3 linked regions of the Coturnix japonica genome follow. The protein of the gene in region 1 purifies or fractionates together with the protein of each later gene. This does not show direct contact. Links are inferred from orthologs where the notes say so. Each region holds a gene or a part of one and is shown in the gene's direction. Other genes may lie near its edges.

What was found.
Region 2: the proteins of ETAA1 (region 1) and RPA2 purify together in Homo sapiens (affinity purification with western blotting; 4 studies listed by BioGRID, with this or other methods). This does not show direct contact. The link is inferred for Coturnix japonica from reciprocal best matches to the Homo sapiens genes ETAA1 and RPA2.
Region 3: the proteins of ETAA1 (region 1) and ATR purify together in Homo sapiens (affinity purification with western blotting; 3 studies listed by BioGRID, with this or other methods). This does not show direct contact. The link is inferred for Coturnix japonica from reciprocal best matches to the Homo sapiens genes ETAA1 and ATR.

What each region holds. Positions count from the first base shown.
Region 1 is NC_029518.1:640,209-646,114, reverse strand, and holds the start of ETAA1 (ewing's tumor-associated antigen 1), read left to right. Parts: upstream 1-2,017; 5' UTR 2,018-2,089; coding exon 2,090-2,312; intron 2,313-3,040; coding exon 3,041-3,178; intron 3,179-3,731; coding exon 3,732-3,808; intron 3,809-5,346; coding exon 5,347-5,465; intron 5,466-5,781; coding exon 5,782-5,906. UniProt on the Homo sapiens protein: Replication stress response protein that accumulates at DNA damage sites and promotes replication fork progression and integrity.
Region 2 is NC_029538.1:1,358,395-1,364,300, reverse strand, and holds RPA2 (replication protein A 32 kDa subunit), read left to right. Parts: upstream 1-2,160; 5' UTR 2,161-2,272; coding exon 2,273-2,288; intron 2,289-2,375; coding exon 2,376-2,470; intron 2,471-2,658; coding exon 2,659-2,760; intron 2,761-2,893; coding exon 2,894-3,007; intron 3,008-3,440; coding exon 3,441-3,515; intron 3,516-3,857; coding exon 3,858-3,971; intron 3,972-4,285; coding exon 4,286-4,393; intron 4,394-4,571; coding exon 4,572-4,666; intron 4,667-4,780; coding exon 4,781-4,865; 3' UTR 4,866-5,174; downstream 5,175-5,906. Other genes in the region: SMPDL3B (acid sphingomyelinase-like phosphodiesterase 3b), read right to left, coding at 29-172, 711-808, 1,742-2,013. UniProt on the Homo sapiens protein: As part of the heterotrimeric replication protein A complex (RPA/RP-A), binds and stabilizes single-stranded DNA intermediates that form during DNA replication or upon DNA stress.
Region 3 is NC_029524.1:8,882,556-8,888,461, reverse strand, and holds the start of ATR (serine/threonine-protein kinase ATR), read left to right. Parts: upstream 1-2,453; 5' UTR 2,454-2,705; coding exon 2,706-2,764; intron 2,765-4,039; coding exon 4,040-4,131; intron 4,132-5,477; coding exon 5,478-5,621; intron 5,622-5,860; coding exon 5,861-5,906. UniProt on the Homo sapiens protein: Serine/threonine protein kinase which activates checkpoint signaling upon genotoxic stresses such as ionizing radiation (IR), ultraviolet light (UV), or DNA replication stalling, thereby acting as a DNA damage sensor.

The sequences.
Region 1 (5,906 bases):
ACACATATATTTCTTTATATAGATATAAAGAAAAAAAGACGTGGAAAGATAGACTGGAGAAGTAATAAAGATAGTTCACTTTGAAAACGTCACAAGGCACTTAAAAACATCCTTGAAAAAAAAAGACACTATTTGTCAAATTGAATTAATTACTCAGAATAGCTTCTATTTTCTGACAAATTTGGTATTTTCACTGAAATCACTATAATTATTTCCTTTCTTTTTTCCCCCCATTTCTAGAATACACGAGCGCTGAACCATAAGAAAGTCACTTTTCTCTGCTACTTACATGAACTCAAAGAATGACACACTTTGTAAGATCTCACTAATGCTGTATGCTTTTCCCAGCACAGAAAAATTGCTCGCTTTAAAGCTCTGTGCTCAAAGGATTTTAGAGAGAAGCGTTTTTTCACTCTTATTTACAGTATTCTAATTACACTGATCAGTATTTCTTGCGGAATTTCTCATATCTTCCACATGTATTTCATTCCTTTGCAGAACTTCCTTCATAAAACACAGTAAAAAAAGTTCTCAGGCACTTGACAGAACTATTGAGAACAGAAGTAACTTTATTATTCATTCCCTCTCCTCCATTATTCATCCCTCTCGATGTGAAAGTAGGACTCACAACTGCAGCACCAGGAGTTTGCAGCAAGTTCCTGGAACACAGCCTGCTCACAATTAGCCATTGATCCAGCCGCTCGTGCCATGACAAGGGAGTGTAAACTCCCTCCTCCTTGAGGCTACAGCTCTGCAGAGAAACCCTTCAACATCACAGGCTTCCACCTCTAGATTTCTTAACTCAATAAATAGCATCAGCTCCAAGCTAAGTTCTTAAGCTGCAATGAAATAAATACACACTAAGAAAGCAGCTTTTATGGCATCACGTACCTGTTGAACTTTTCTGTATGGTGCAGATTTTGGTCTCCTCTCAGCATCCATTCTACCTGAAAACAACAGAGCCAAGTAATTTAAGGTGCACCATTACGACATATGTGCCAGGTAAGCCAACTCTGTACCAGTGTTGTATATCACAGCTTTTAATTACCATATTGCCAACCAGTGATGAAACATGCTATGCATACCATTACCATACTTCATACCTATGCAAGGCTCTATCATGCTGGTATGAGTAAAAGGCAGTAATCACATTCACATCCAGCAATGGATTTTGAAGCCTAATTTTACATCTCCTTTTTCAGCCTGGCCTCTGATTTACATCTGATGGGTACAACATGATTACTAAGAAGTCAAAACTTCCTTTCTGTGATTAACTGTGATAGTTTAGCTCTGCGTGTAACACCTCGGTTTAATACATACTACTTCATTTTTTCCTTGTTAAGAAGTCTTCCACTGGCATTAATTACGCCCACAAGGACAAAGAAGAGAAAAAAACCATATTGTTTGCCTGAGGCCTCGGGTGGAAAGAGGTTTCCCATTGCAGGGAGCTGGTGTTTTGTGACTTTAAAACTCCTCATACTGCTGACCAGAACCCATTGCTTATAAATGAAGTGTGAGCCCAAAGCGCTCCAAATGGGTAAAACAAAAAAGAGGCAGGCAAGTAATACAAAGCAGTTCCCTCCCTGACCTATATGCTTAGTGGATATGTTTATACATTTACATTCAACGGGCTCTGGAGGAAACATCCACCTTATGATATAATACATACACGTGCTTGCATTTCTAAATAGCGATGTAACATCACAGCCCCTGGGGAACCTCACGTTCATTCCTTACCAACCAAATCTGGTTTCTGGCAGCCTGTTTGGCAGCCCCAGTTTCCTCGCAGGGCTGAACTCACTGCTGCCTGGCTCTGGGCCGTTCCCTCTCGAGGTGCAGAGTGTGCACAGAGCCGGGAAGCACGAGGCAGGATGGCAGCACCCGCCGCGCACGAGGCGGGCCCGGGGCCGAGCTCAGCCCATCGCGGCGTCCCGCCGCACTTCCCAGCCTCGCCCGTCGACCCGCCCTCTCGCTGCGGGGCCAATGGCGGCCCGGCCGGGTGCGGCGGCGGCCAATCGGCGTTATCCCGGCGGGCTCCCCGGCAAAATGGCGGCGTCGGTGTGGACGCGGTGCTTCCGTAGCGCTTGCCATGCCCGGTAGCCGGCGGAGGGAGCCCTGCCGCAGGCTCACGGCCCCGCGGGGGCGGAGCGGCGCCGAGGACAGGGTCGGCCGGCGGTGGCGGCCAGCGGAGTGCCCCGCGGAGGAAGAGGCGGCCGGCGGCGGCGCGGAGGGCGGTGTGGGCCGCGGCCCGCTCGTGAGGGTGGCGCCCGGGCCGTCGCCGTGTCGGGAGGCGGCGGTGCGCGGTGCGGCAGGTACGGCGGGAGCGGACCCCGCTCTGCCCGCCCGGGTGCGCGGGGAAGGGGCTGCAGGTGCCCGGCGAGCAGCTCCCTGAGGAGAACAGACCCCTGAGGAGAGGCCCGGCAGCGTAAAGCGGCTCACTGGGCGCTCCTCGCGTTAGGAATGGCATATCCTAGAACTTATGCAGGCTCACGCGGCGGTTCCGTGCTTGAAAGGCAGAGCGAGCAGCTGAGACGGCTGGGAGCTGTTGTGCGCAGCTGTGTCCTTGTTATCAGCCCCACCTGGAGAGGCGCAGTGCAGGGAGTTGTGGCCCACAGCCTTTGAGGGGCCTGTGGGAGTTTTAATCCAGACCAGTCTGAGTGTGAGACACAGAGCGAGGCAGAGCACAAAACATTCTCCCCTGTGGATCTGTGTAGGGTTTCATTAACACACTGAAGTTAGTATATTCCGTCTGGTAAGAAGACAGGCAGTCCTCATACTTAATGTTAGATGCTGGGCATCCAGCTGTCGGCATGCTGTCATCTCTGTGTGATGTCACCACCTTGTCCTGCATTAACTGCAGTGGAAAGAACCTATCCTGTGTATAAAGAACCTCGATGACAGTGAGCTTTGTTTTGATTCTTCCTAAAGCATCTTCTCTGTGCCTCACCCTGGTTCTGAGTTCCTCAGATTCCTAGATTCTGAGTTTGTTCACCTTTGTGTTTGCTGTTGTTTAATAAGGATCACCTTTCTGTTTACACAGAGCCATGTTTACACAAAACTCCAAAGAGATCACTGAGTAGGAAATCCAGAATACCAACCTTCAGCTCACCGGTTAATGACACTGATATACAGCAAGAAATCTTTTGGGATCCTCATTCACCAATTGCACATGGACTAGGTAATATTAACAAAATTCAGACTTCAGGGGGCCCGCCAAGGGAATGCAATTGCAGTGTATTAGAAGAAGGGGGCAGATTCTTCAGCAGGGTCTCTTGTGATAGAACAAGGGGAAATAGTTTCAGACTAACATGTGGGTGATTCAGACTGGACATAAGGAAGGTTTTTACAGTAAGAGTGGAGGCTGCCCCATCCCTGGAGACATTCAAGCTAAGGCTGGACTGGACTCTGAGCACCTGATGGTGCTGTTGATTTCCCTGTTTATTGCAGGGGGTTGGACTACATGACCCTTTAAGATCCCTTCCGACTCAAATGATTCTGTCACAAAAGTCACTACATTTATTGGAAAAATGCCCCTTCTTGTTTATCATGACAGTACCTGGTGAGTCCGGAGGTGATCGGTTTGATTTTACTTTTATTAAAATCCCATAAATTCCTCATCATAGTGTTATATCAAGTTCTGACTTCATCGAGTGTAATTTGAGCAATAATGAATTTTATAAATTGTAACGTTTTGCCATTTTTTAAAGTTTTTTTAATTATTATTTTCTTAGGCAAAGGAAAAACCAAACAGCCCACCAGTAGATGTGCAGTAGAGATTTCAGAAATTGTTAATAGGATTGCTCCTCAGGTAATGGTTACTTTCTAAAACAATGTTCTGTATGTGCAGTGCTGAAACAGAACAGTGCTACATTATTCAGTTTTACTGAAAGCTCTCTTTTAGTTACAGTAGTCTAACATACATGGCAAGAAGCAAGTATGCAGATAACTAGAAACATGCTTATAAAACTGGGTTGAACTATAATCATAAGCTCAACATTTGACTCTTAAAAAAACAAGATGTATGAAGAAAGTGGACTAGTTGCAGCTGCATTTAGGAATTTCTACTTGCAGAATGCAGCTTATTGCCCCTGATCTTAGGAGATTTATTGTGGTTTACTTATCCTTAATCACTTGTACATTAAAAGGTATAATTTTTTCACATACTGGATTTACTTGGCAACATCTGACTCAGATATCTAAGAGAGACTGCACAAGGATATAAACACAGTAAAGCTGCATCATTATTCTCAGTAATTTGCATTTCTTACCCTAAGGTCCACACTCTTGACATCTCTTTCTGGCTCTGAAACTGACATCTACAGCCTGCAAAATGAAAACAACATAGTCTTTTAATAGGAGTCTTATTGTTTGCATTTTACTAGATGTAAGAAGAGAACTTGTCACTCCTAACACAGTCTGTAGAATGTGGCTTGCCAAAAATGCCAACTTATTTGACAGAGCCATTTAAATGTATTTGCTGTATTGAATATTTGTGAGAAAGCAGAATTAGAAAATCACCGATAAGGGATGTCACTTCCTTTTAAATGATTATAGTCCTATAATGACTATAAATAGCATCATACTGGGTTTGCTAATATCTATTGCTTGTGTTCTTTTATCTTGAAAAATAAAACATACTCAGAACTACCCCGGTAGTCAGTGAAGTTCAACTTACCTTTGTTGGCTTACATGCAGTAATTTCTTGCATTCAGTGTTTGGCTCTAGCCCTGTACTCACTGTACTGCTGCAGTCGTGTATCTCTTAGATTTAGGAATTAAGAGCCCAGCCTGAATGTTGAAGCTGTAAAACAAGCTCATTCAGTTTCTAAACATATTTTATTTCTGTTTTAATGCTCCTTCAACGTAAGAGTTGTAATGGAAGAAGTCAGATTTATTTTTCCAGGGGCCATGCAAAAATATGATGTTTCAAATTCACTGATCTGTTAATGCTGCTGTAAGTGCATAAAGATAAGGGTATCTCAAGTAGCTCCTTACCTGTGCACTAAAGTAAATAAACTAAATCACAGCTTGTAGTGTGAATATTGCTGATTATTCCTAAACCCTATTGGGGATGTGAATATAGTGTTAGATTTGAGCACCAAACTAAAATTCAATTGTTTTAATTGAACTTCCTGCTTTAAACTGATACAATTAAACTGATACAACTGTCAGTTGACATTGTTGGAGTATTCTTGATTAGCTTGTATTGGTTTAGTTCCTATCCTTAGCTTTCAATAGATTTGACCCTATTTAATTGGTTTAGTAACTTTAACTAATGGAAGGTGTGTGTTTAGTCAAATCTTTATCTGAAATCAAGTTGCTAAGCATTATAAATCTAATCATCCAGGATGAAAAAGCAGCCTGTAATGAAGGCTCCCTTCTAGGGACATGGATTGGTGACGATGCCATTCCCTGCACACCTGGAGTAGTAAAAGTGCGAGCTAGGACAAAGTTTTGTTGTACAAGGTAAGTCAGAGTTTTGCCTTGCCCACTGTAGCTGGGTTTTCATGTAAAATCAGCATGTATAGTGAGCCGTGTAATTGTATATTAGCATACAGAAAGATTTTAACTTTGCAGTTGCTGTCTTCTTAACGGGGTGGTTATTACTGGGAATGATCTAAAGGACTGTACGCATTGAGAGCAGCAGGATTCAGTCATACTCTCAGTAGCTGTTAAACTAGAGAACAAACAGCATATAGGGTAGCTTAGCTGAACTTGGCAACATTTTCTCAATGGGTCTGATTCTCTTTTCTGTTTTCACTTTTGTTTTTCATTAATCTAGAGATCTTAAAATAAAAAGTCCTGAAGAGGAGCTCATGAAGTTGGCCAAAGAATTTGATAAAAATCTGATAGAGCTAGATGCTGTTCACGAACAAGAGAAGCTTAGTCATGACTTTATCCAGACTG
Region 2 (5,906 bases), on another chromosome or scaffold:
TGCTAATGTGCACCAGCAGCGCCATTACCTGCTCTGAACAGAGGAATTGAAGCTTCATTCAACCATGAACGCCACAGTTCTGCTGTTTGGTTGTAGATCCTGTTCTCCTTCCCTGGAAACTGATTCTTGGGGTGGAAGTCGTGATTTCCCATTGCTGCGAAGACTTTAGTATCTAAGAACAGAGAAAAAGCAGAAGGGAGATGTCTGTAGTTGGTTCATGGTTCCTCATCATCAGAGTCTCCAATGACTCAGAATGAACAGCTGGTTCAACAGCATTATAAAGGTGTATCACCCACAGTGCAGCCACACTGAGTGCGGATATAACACTGCAAAGACCCCTCCCTATGGATGCCATGGGGCTCCTCAGGGCAAAACACCCCCCAGATACGTCTTTACAGAGCAGTCAATGAGCTCTCACTGTTGTAACACTTCTCCCCTCACTGCTAAGATGGATTCAATAGAACTTGTGCAGTATTCTACCTAAATGAGCAATAAGAGAAACATTTATTTTCCTCCCTCCTGAGTGTGTTAACAACAGTGTGTCACACACCTCAATTCAGACACACCTCAACCCACACAACAGCTGAGAAGAGGACAAATAAGTCAAGACCTTTTCTGGGCCTTCCCCAGTTCTCTCATTGCTCCACACAGATTAAACCTTCCCATCCAAACCTGCACTTCTCTCCCCTTCCCATCCCCTCCCATCCTACCTGGAAATACCTGTTTGATCAGCGAGGTCAGGTTTGCGATGATGTGCAGAACCTTCTCTTCTCCGAGCTGCTCATCAGGGACATGAGGAGTATCATCCCTGGAACAGCAGATAGAACATAGACGTTACTTGTGACTATCAAGGCACGTGGGCAGAGCAAGGCACTGAACGTGCACCTGAGCCTTGTTTTCTTCCTTATCTCATAGGAGATAAAGTCAAGGTCTTTGGGGTAGGAACTTGCACTGTGCACATGGGCTGAAGCAGAGAAGCAGGAGGAAATGGCTCCAAGTGGAAAGCTGCTCCGTTTGGTTCTACTTTATATGTGGGCACTAGAAGCAGGTTTATCCCATTTCAGCACATTTATCCCATTCCAACGTGTTTAATAGATGCTACAGCTGAGTGGGGCATCACGCAAGAGAATATAATGCAACCTGGGGTCAGAACTGGATAACAGCAGGGAAGCAAAAGCTGCCTGCGTTCAATAGAATGAAACAGAATTGAAAAGGAACCCAATGAATGCTCCAAGTAAGGTGAGGATTTAACATGGCTACAGCCCATGGCAATAGACAGGAGGCATTTAACAGCTAAAGCCCACGGCAATAGATAGGGGGCATTTAACACAGCTAAAGCTGAGTCTATGGTAATAGACAGGAGGCATTTGACACAGCTACAGCCCATAGCAATAGATAGGGGGCATTTAATACAGCTAAAGCTGAGTCCATGGTAATAGATAGGAGGCATTTAATGCAGCTAAAGCCTATGGCAATGGATAGGGGGCATTTAACACAGCTAAAGCCCACAGCAATAGATAGAAGGCATTTAACACAGCTACAGCCCATAGTAATAGATAGGGGGCATTTAACACAGCTAAAGCTGAGTCCATGTAACAGACAGGAGGCATTTAATACATCTAAAGCCCACGGCAATGGATAGGGGGCATTTAACACAGCTACAGCCCATAGCAATAGATAGGGGCCATCACTTTGGGACTCAGCCCGCAGGGACTCAATACAATCGGTGCTGTTTCCTCACCCCGTCCATAGCACAAAGTCCGGCCGTGCCCGCAGCCGTTTCATGGCGCTCACAGCGGAGCTGAGCAGCGCCCAGGGCGCATCACATTCGTAGCTGCCCCACGGTCCCCCCGGTCCGGATCCCCCCGACGGGCAGCGCTGCCCGGCCGACAGCGCCTCCTCGTAACCGGGATCCCAGTGTAGGTCCGTCAGGTGCCAGAATGTCCCCGCCATCACCGCCGGCTGCAGCAGCACCAGCAGCGCGGCCGCCCGCACCGTCACCGCCTCCATCATTGAACCTTCACCTGCACGGCCCGCCCCGTCGGGGCACAGAGCCGGGCAGCGCCAGCAACCAACATGGCGGCGTCGGCATCAGCACCGCCGGAAGAAGGAGGGATGTGATTGGATCTTAGCGCTGGAAGAAAGAGAGAGGTGATTGGATCTCGCTATCGGAAGCTGGCGGAAGACGGAGGGCTGTGATTGGCTCCTGGTAGCGGGGCGCGGGACGCGGTGCTGGAGGAGCGGGTGGCTCCGCAGTCGGTGCTGAGGCGCCATGTGGGGCGGACACGGTGCGGGACGGGCGGGTGTGGGGGGATGTGGGGTGTGGGGTGTGAGATGGGTCTGCGCAGCTCACGGCTCCGATCATCCCTTCACAGGTAACTTCGATGGCGGTTACGGCCCCGCGGGGGGATACACGCAGTCACCGGGAGGATTCAGTTCACCAGCGGGCGGGCAGGCCGAGAAGAAGCAGGTAGGGCTGGGCTATGGGGCTGGGCTATGGGGCTGGTTATGGGGCTGGGCTATGGGGCTGGGCTATGGGGCTGTGGGGCTGGGTTGTGGGGCTGTGGGGCCGGGCTGTGGGGCTGTGGGGGCCGGGCTGTGGGGCCCGGGCTGTGGGGCTGTGGGGCCCATCACGTCCCCCTTCACCCCCCCCCACAGCGCAGCCGCTCGCAGAGCATCGTGCCCTGCACCGTGTCGCAGCTGCTGGCAGCCGAGCAGGTGGACGAGGCGTTCCGTATCCATGACGTGGAGATCTCGCAGGTGGGCACCCCCTATAGTCCCACACCCCCGTATAGTCCCACACCCCCTATAACCCCACACCCCTCTCCCATTAAGCTGGTTCTGATGGGCCGCTGGTGTCTCACCCCGCCCCCTGACCGCCCTCCCCCCGCAGGTCACCGTGGTGGGCATCGTTCGACACGCAGAGAAGGCGCCCACCAACATCCTGTACAAGGTGGATGACATGACAGCGGCACCCATGGACGTGAGGCAGTGGGTTGACACCGATGTAAGCAATGGAACCGTCCTGAGGTGCTGCTATGGGGGTAAAACAGTGTGTGAGCTGCATCAATGGATGTCCCTGTTAGAGCCAGGCTGGGTGCTGCGGTAACAGTGATCAGTTGGCAGTGAATGTGGCTGGAGATGAACAGCTGCACTGAGCTGAACAACTGGAAGTAATTAAAGAGATTCTCAGTTGGTTTATCTACAGGTTTGCCATAAGATCCTGTGACTGCTCCCAGAATGCACAGCTGGCACTGATTGCTGTCAAGCCGACAGTGCATCCAAATAAGGATTTCCCATCTGTAGCTACATTTACCTGACTGCTTGTACTGATTGAATGGGTGTCGTTTGTGTTTGATTGAGATAGCAGTCCTAAAGTTGTTTAGTATGATAACTGAGAGATGGATCAGCAGCTCTTTGCTTTCTCCTTTCTCTGTAAGGAGGCAGGTAGTGAGAATATCGTGGTGCCCCCAGGAACTTACGTCAAAGTTGCTGGTCATCTTCGGTCTTTTCAGGTAAGGTCATGTGCGACTCCACAACAAACAAGGCTGGGGCAGCAGCATAAAGGGTTGGTGATGTGGCAGAGCAGGAACAATAATCACAGCATGTTATATAGGAGTCAACTCATAGCAGTCATCCTTGAGATCATGCTGTATGTGTTAAAGCAAAGAGCAATTGCCAGCTGGATCAAAACTTGCCCAGACATGGGCATTTAAGTTGAAAACCTTTGCTAACTAAAGGCAGATGGACTCCCCACCCGCTGCTGCTCCTGTTCCTAACTAGAGTGCTTAAGTTCTATGGCAACCATGTTCCTGTTGCTCCCCTGTTAATGGTATTTGCTGTCTTTTCTCTGGAAGAACAAGAAGAGTTTGGTGGCGTTTAAGATCATGCCTCTGGAAAACATGAACGAGGTCACCACGCACATACTTGAGACTGTTAATGCGCATATGATCCTCAGGAAGAACCTTATGGTGTGTAGTTGAAGGTCATGGTTCCATTACAGCTGTTACTGGTGATCTAAAGGGAGGGACCTCTGGGTTCAGTGGGAAACTGTGCAAGTTGTGGGTCTGGAAAGGCTGAAGGGCTGCAATGGGGTGTGATGAGAGTCTTGATTTCCATTGAGAGACATTCTCATTGCGGCCAGTTTTACTTGGTTTCTGTTGGAAATCTATCTTTAATTATTATGCCTCTGAAAGAAGGCTAAGTCCTTCATGTCCTTCATGCCTTGGGTTTGCAGCAGCCTGTGCACAACAGTTCTTTTATTCAATTACTCTTGTAATTGCAGTCAGCATCAAGAGCACCTCAGTCGTTTACCTCTGTTGGAATGAGTGACGTGGGGGCCTATGGTGGAGGCAGCCTGCCTGTCAATGGACTCACAGCACATCAGAGTCAGGTGGGTGCCAGCACCTTCTCCAGAGCACAGCTGACACAGTGGGTGCTGCTGCTTTGTGTTGTAGGACCAAGAAATAAAAGCTCAGTTATTCTTGGAAGGCTGATAATCCTTTTTTGGCCCCGCTGTTCAGTGCTGATAGAGCTGAGCTGTGTGCTGATGATGGTTCACGTTCTTCCAGGTGCTGAACCTGATTAAAAACTGCCATTCTCCAGACGGGATGAGTCTCCAAGAGCTGAAACTTCAGCTCCACAATGTCAGCATACCAACAATCAAGTAAGTGTGTAGAAGCTGATGTTTTTGGGGGCGTCAGGTCCCACGTAGGTGGGAAATGGTTGAGAGGAAGGCATTGATGTGAGCCAGGTACTAATGGACTTCTTTCCTTCCAAGGCAAGCAGTTGAATTCCTTAGCAGCGAGGGACACATCTACTCTACTGTGGATGATGATCACTATAAGTCTACGGATGCTGACTGAAGCTCTTTCCACCTGGATTTGCTCCCAGCCAAGTGCTTCTCGGTGTCTCGAATTAACCTGCTGAGCTTTGCAACTTGGAAGGTGATGTTTGCTTTCTAACATGTGCAAGTCCCACTTATTCAGTGATTCCCCACACCCCGAAATTCAAGGACAATGTAGCCAAGAGAAACGTTCTGTTAATGTACAGTAATCATGACTGGATTTATAATTAGTTTGTGCACTTAAATCTATATTTGTACTACGAGGTGGTCTTGTTACTATGGCTTTTGAATACTATTTTCATTAAAATGTAAACTAGGGTGGTCTTAAGCTTCTGTGGCTCTGGAGGCTTTTGCTCCTTGCTAAAGAAGGAAAGCATTTGCCATTAGAACTCAGCTGTGTGGGTACAAACAGCCTGTGCCGTCACAGGATTGGGTTGTCTGTACTTAATATTTGCTTAAGCTTTTGAAATGAGTTGTTTCAAGGGGTCGAATGGATAAGAACGAACAGCTGGATATGAAGACGTGAATGATTCTAATGAAAGAAGCTGCAGGTTGTATCTGGGATCCACCTGGAGTCAGGATCATCGCTGCCAATAGGAATAAAGGACAGAGCATTGTGGATATTGGTGATGCAGCAGGGAGGAGGTGATGAGTTTTGTTTCCTCTTTCTCTACCTGGCCTTGCTTTGCTCACAGAGGCAGCATCCTGAAGATGGCTCCTGCACTGTGTCTGTTCTCACTTGATTTCCTGTAGTAGAAAATGCAGAACTGAAAGCTGCCTGCTGGGAATCGACAACCGCAGCAGTTTGTGAGCTTCGTAAATATTCAGAATCACTTAACGACCCTGTGAGGAGCCCAGCTGTTCTCCATAGACCGAGTGTGGTTTCTGTGGTGAGTGTTTAGCATTGCTAAGAGGCAGGACATAGGATTGTTGGAGCAGTCAATGGATGGGAGCCCTGTTTGCTGCACTGTGCTGGTCTGCTCGTAAAGAGCTGGTTCCTATTTTCTCCTTAGCACAGGACCTACTGGAGGAAGCTTGTTCCTCCCTGCTTATCAGCTGT
Region 3 (5,906 bases), on another chromosome or scaffold:
CAAGTCTCACAGTTCATGCAGGCATCATTAAATATGTGTAGGTAGTTAAAAGTCTTAATATAATCACTTATATCTGACTGTAAGGGTCAGTTGAGATTTAACTGCAATCCCTGCAAAAACATCAGAAACATCTCACACACCCACAGAGACAAGCCCCAAGATGAATTGTAAATGCACATCAGAATTTGACTAACAGAGGGAATTAAAGGGCAGCAAACACGCTGTTGTGCTCTGGAATCAGCTGCTCCAAGGCAAAGTCCCATCACTTGGTGTCTTAAACTAAGATGCTACAGTGACCTACAGAGGTACCTGATAAATTGAAAATGAAAGCTAAAAAGAAGCCCAGGTGTGGAAGTACCATGCAACTAACAAGTACCTGGGCAGTCCAAGGGTAAAGGGAAGTCAGCTGGGCATGAAGCTTGTCACACACACTAATTCAATGGTTAACTTTGCCTTCCTGCATGGATTCCCTGAGTTCTGCAGGCTGCGAGCTCAGCACACGCAAGGCTCATTTCACCAACACGAGTGCTACATTGGAAGAGAAGGCACAGAATGGTCTCAAGGGCACACTGCTTTCAATAGCAGTGAGTCACCCTGCTGCTGGAAAAAAAACAAAACAAAAAACCTTCCACTTCTCCTGAGAGCAAAGGCAATGTAAGTACCATAAAATAATGGGATAATGAAGATGAATTAAGAGTTTGAGTTTCTCGCTGTGCGCTCCAGCAAAGCAAAGAGGAAGGTTTAGTGTTCAGAGGGTTGAAGATTGCTAGGTTATGCTATGATCTAGCAGAGTATCTCATGGGGTGCACCCAGAAGACTTCTTACATCTTTACAGCACAACACAGTGGGTCCTATAAGACTCTCTAGTGCACACAACAAGTCAGTCAGGAGAAACTTGACAATATTTGTCAGGAAGCAGCCGATGGAGCTTTGCAACAGGGAACCAGCAAAACCTCTCAGACCCACTCCAATGACAGATGAGAAACAGATTTCTCTGTAGGGAATTGTTGAGTACTTACTGCGACTGGGAAGAAAGAAGCCTGAATTACCACTTTGGTAAGTGCTTAAAGAAACTGCACCATGAATTTATACAGCATTCTACCTATGACAAATGGAAATGCTGTCACAGTACCTTTATTAGTAAGATCTCACTGACAACCTGGAACACTTGAAGACAAATGTACTTTTAGTTTTCCCATTAAGCACCGCACATACCCAAATTATGCTTTACAAACAGAGAAATGTACCTATATAGTTTAATAAGCGTATCATATTGTCTCTTTGGATTTAAATCTGAAGAAACATACCCTGCTCAGGTTCCTCTACAAACCTAACAGGCACCTTACTATCCTCCTCAAGCTTATCAGCTATGGTATCAATGGGATTTAATTTGGCAAATTAAGAAGCACTGCACCTTAAGAAGCGGTCACACCTTTCTTCACACCACCGCTGTCTCAAACTTAGAAGCTGCTAATCAGAAAGCTACTTTCAGGGTAACAACACAAGGCTTCTTATTTAAACTGAATAGGAAACACTGGGTTCTAAATAAAACCAGCACTAAAACCCAGACATGCCGGGTCCTCCTGAGCCACCACAGCTCCTTTACCAGAGCACACACAGCTGTGGAGCATTTGCTTCCTGGCCACCAACTGCCCCCAGAAAGCTCTCAGAAGTTTATGAAGACAAAAATACTTGTTGGAAATATTCATTAGAAAACAAAGATAAAACTCAAATACATTCTGTTAAGTTTCTTAAAGCACTCCAAACAGATCCTCCTTTTGTTAGCTGCCTTAGAAGCATCATCAGACTAGTTTTATGAAATAGCTAACGTGTGTTTTTCAGGTTAAAAACTACTTATTGAAGAGAAAGTTCATCAGCAACAGGTGCCCTAAAGACACCCATCAGTAAAGAAACACAACCACGACACACACAGACAGTTTCCCAAGCCCTTTCACACGCAAGATTCGGCCACGTCCCAGTGCAAACTGGCAGCAGAACCAGAACCCTCTGAGAGGATTTAATTTCAGCCCCAAAGCATCGAAGTGCTGGGCTGACACACACACGGCGGACGGGAACAGCCCGCAGGGAAGGACGGGGCTCATCCCGAGTCCTCTCGGGCCGCCCTCCTCGCAGCCCCACAGAACACAGCGGGGGCTCGCAAACCCAAATACCGAACCGCTCTCAAAGGGCCGTATAGAGAGAGTAACGAACGCTGGAAATAAAAGATAACAGCATCTTACACGCACCCCCCGCCGCTGTCGTCAGGAGCGATGAGTACCGGAGCGATGATAAGTACCGGACCGGCAGCCGCTCCTACGCACCAGACGAACGAGCCGCTACTCACCGACAGCTCCGGCTCCCGCAGCACAAACCACCTGCTGCCCAGGGCGGCCAATGGAGCGGCGAGGGGCGGGGCCTGCCGGGCACCTCCCGCCTGAGGGATGCGGGGTGTGGGGCTGGTGCCGCGTTGTGGCAGATTGCGGTGGGCTGTGCCGCAGGGATCCGTGCATTGAGGGTGGCGGTGCCGCGGGCAGCCTGGTCGAGCCCTTGTGGTGGCGGGGCGCAGCCTGGGGACGAAGCGGTTAAACGCGGCAGAGCCGCGGGGTGGCGCGGGGAAGTTTGTCGGAGGTTGTTTGGGCCCTGCCGGCCGCCGTCCCGCGGGTCCCGCAGTTCCCGCCTCGGCGGCGCGGTTGAAAGCCGCAGCCATGGCCGAGCAGGGCCTGGAGATGGCCTCCATGATCCCGGCGCTGCGGGAGCTCGCTAGGTAGGCTCAGCCCGGCGGGGAGCTCCGGGGATAGGCCCGGTTCTGGGGCGGGTAGGGCTCTTCCCCACCTCTGTGAGGGCTCTGGGGCTGAACCCGCGTCTTCCTCCTGTGGTGTCTTCGCCCCGCTGCCTGCATGGGGCACTGCTCCATCCCGGGCCGTGCCTGGGGGCAGCGGCGATGACCTGCGGAATCAAACTCTATAATCCAGAGATGGGGTTTGTCGGGGTCCAACATCCCGTGCTGCTCACAGCGGGGCTTTGCTGACTGGGAAGCAGCACAGATACCAAGGGGGGGAGAGGGGAAGAGCCGAAGCTTGCATTCCTTGCTTCGTAAGGCAGTGCACTAAGCAAAATTGGTCTGTGGTGTATTGGTAGAACATTTGCAAGTCGCTACTTTGGTTCACTGTTGTTCAGTTTCTAGGAAAGATAGATTGATTATAGTGCTTGATGGGCATGCAAGTTACTCAGCAGTGTGCTAGGCATCCTACCAATGTGGCTTCTCTGGAGCTATTCGTGGTCCCTGCTCTGCAATCTGCATTGTATAAGATGGAATGAATGTATGTACTTGAGGCTTCGAGGTACTGCAGTCATGTACTACACACGTTCTCACAGATGGGAAATTGCTGTTGTCTGGCTCAGCTGACTGAGGCTGCTCTAGGTTAAGGTGAAAGCAATATAGGAGCTTTTGACACCCAGGTTCTGTATCTCCTCCATCTGTGTAGAGAGAATTAATGTTTGTCTCTGGAGTTTTAATGGCACCATCAGGACTGCAGCTTTGTTCAGTGCTAGACAACTAGGTGACATGGAGATGTGAATATACTGTGACATTTTGACCTAATGAAGGTACTTACATCTCAGTCACCTGAGGTGCTGCTGGCACCTCTTACCCTGTATACCTGTTGTTGGTCTGCTGAATAATTTGTTAATTCCAAAAGCAAAACAGGCTTTTAATTTTATTTTTCTACACTAAATCTGTTTTGCTTTGATGTAGTGTGTGACCTTAATAGATCAGAATTGTGTGTAAAGTATGTCAAACATAATTGCATAACAAAAGTAAATGGCTTTCAGCATTTCATACAGCTTTCTACCTAGGAAAAGTAGGGAAGAGAAGAGCTTGAAATACACTGGTCACTAAAACAAGAAAAACAGTGGCATTTCTTTTTTGGAAACTTCTTGAAAAAAATGAACCATCTTGGAGTTTAATGGTGTGTTGTTGAGATGGACATGAATTATTCTGTATTTTAAAACAGGTAAAATATCATGCTTTTAATTTTAGTGCTAGTCCGGAAGAATACAATGCAGTTGTTCAGAAACCAAGACAAATACTCTGCCAGTTCATTGACAGAATCCTGACAGATGTAGATGTGGGTGAGTATTGCATGTCTGGTATCTCAAATGGTAATCCAATGTATGTTTTAAGTAATTCAACACAGACCCAAGTTACAACTCATTTCAACAGAGATTAGCACTCGAATGCAGTAATGTTTATATCTTCATTTCTTAATAACTTCCTTGTTTAAGTACTTGCTATGAAATAAGACAAATCTATATTATTACTATAAATAATATACATTATAAACTACAAATTTATAATTGTAAAAAATAAAGTGAATATGAACACTCAGAATTCTTTTTATCTGAAGTGATTGCTCATTGAGTGATGTAGCTTGTAAATCTTAATATTCACGAGGCCTTCAAGAATTGCAACACTTTGATGTAAAAACCTTGATTTTTAATTTTAGGGTGGTAATCAGTCATCAGTAATCAAGTTAAGGTTCTAATTATTGCAGTAGTTTAACAGTATCTTGATTAATTGTGAAATATAGGCTCCAGAAGTCTGGCACTTAGAATTATTTGTACATTTACTGTAGGGAGACTCATTGTAAAGTAATCTTTAATATCTATATTAAATTGTATTTTATAATATTACATATATACAGAAATATTTATTATACACTGTTTCTGAGGGATGTTTTCATGTAGCCATCCCCCTAAGATGTATTTCATCTAGTGAAGTGATCATTTTAAGTACTGTTATGTTACTGTTCAGATATTTGTTAATTCTTTTCTGTTCCTGAGAGAGAATAAAAATGAAAATCCAGACTATTTTAGGTATTGCTTTTGTGCATGCAAGTATTTTATCTTTACTATGTAGCTTTTCCTTAATTCCTATCTAAATTTCAGATAGTTTTCTCCTTGTGCTCTTTGTGTAATTGTGTGAAAACTGGGTAACTGAAGTGATTCAGTTATCTGTTTTAAGAGATATAGTATAGCAGCACTTCAGATTCTTTGATTCTGAAAGCTTACAATTGAACTATCACTTGCAGCTTTGTAAACAATGCTTAATTCGTGTCCTAGGTCATAGATCTAGGGAGAACCAATTGAAAATTAAAATGCTATCTTTCTGCTATCTTTCAATAAGAACTAGATATAGTACTGAATTAATGGTTATAGTGTCAGCAGATAATGTGCAGAATAATTTTATATTTTTCCTCATACTTTTTGGCTTCCTGTACAGGATTTAAAATAACCTTAAAATCTTTTTCATTGAATAATAAGGCATACTTAGAACTTCTTGCTATACAAGTTTGATACTGTATCATAATATTACATACAGAAAATTTATGATTTCCTTGTTTTAGATACGGCCAAAATTATGGAAGTTGATTTCATTGTAATATTAATTCAGAATTATTTTGTTTGTTTGTTTTAAGTTGCTTTGGAACTCGTTAAGAAATCAGATTCACAGCCAAGTTCTGTAATGCTGCTGGATTTTATTCAACATATCATGAAATCTTCCCCCCTTATGTTTGTAAATGTCGATGGAAGTCAAGAGGAAACAGAATCCAATTGCATTGGTGAGCTTGACGTTGTATTTATATAATTCATCTTCTTTTTTTTTTCTTGCCCCTTTATCAGCAAGGTCTCATATTGAAGAAATGCTTTATGCTTGCTAAGCTTAGATTCCTTTATTTCACCACTGTGTTTATTTATTTTGCGATGAGCAACTTTGCTCTCAAGGAGGTACTCTTTTATTAAGAGGCTTTGGCTTTCATCTTAATAATTTTCTGTGTACTGTTTCTTTTTATTGCCCTAGAATTTAGCAATTGGATCATAACAAGACTTCTCCGGATTGCTGCGAC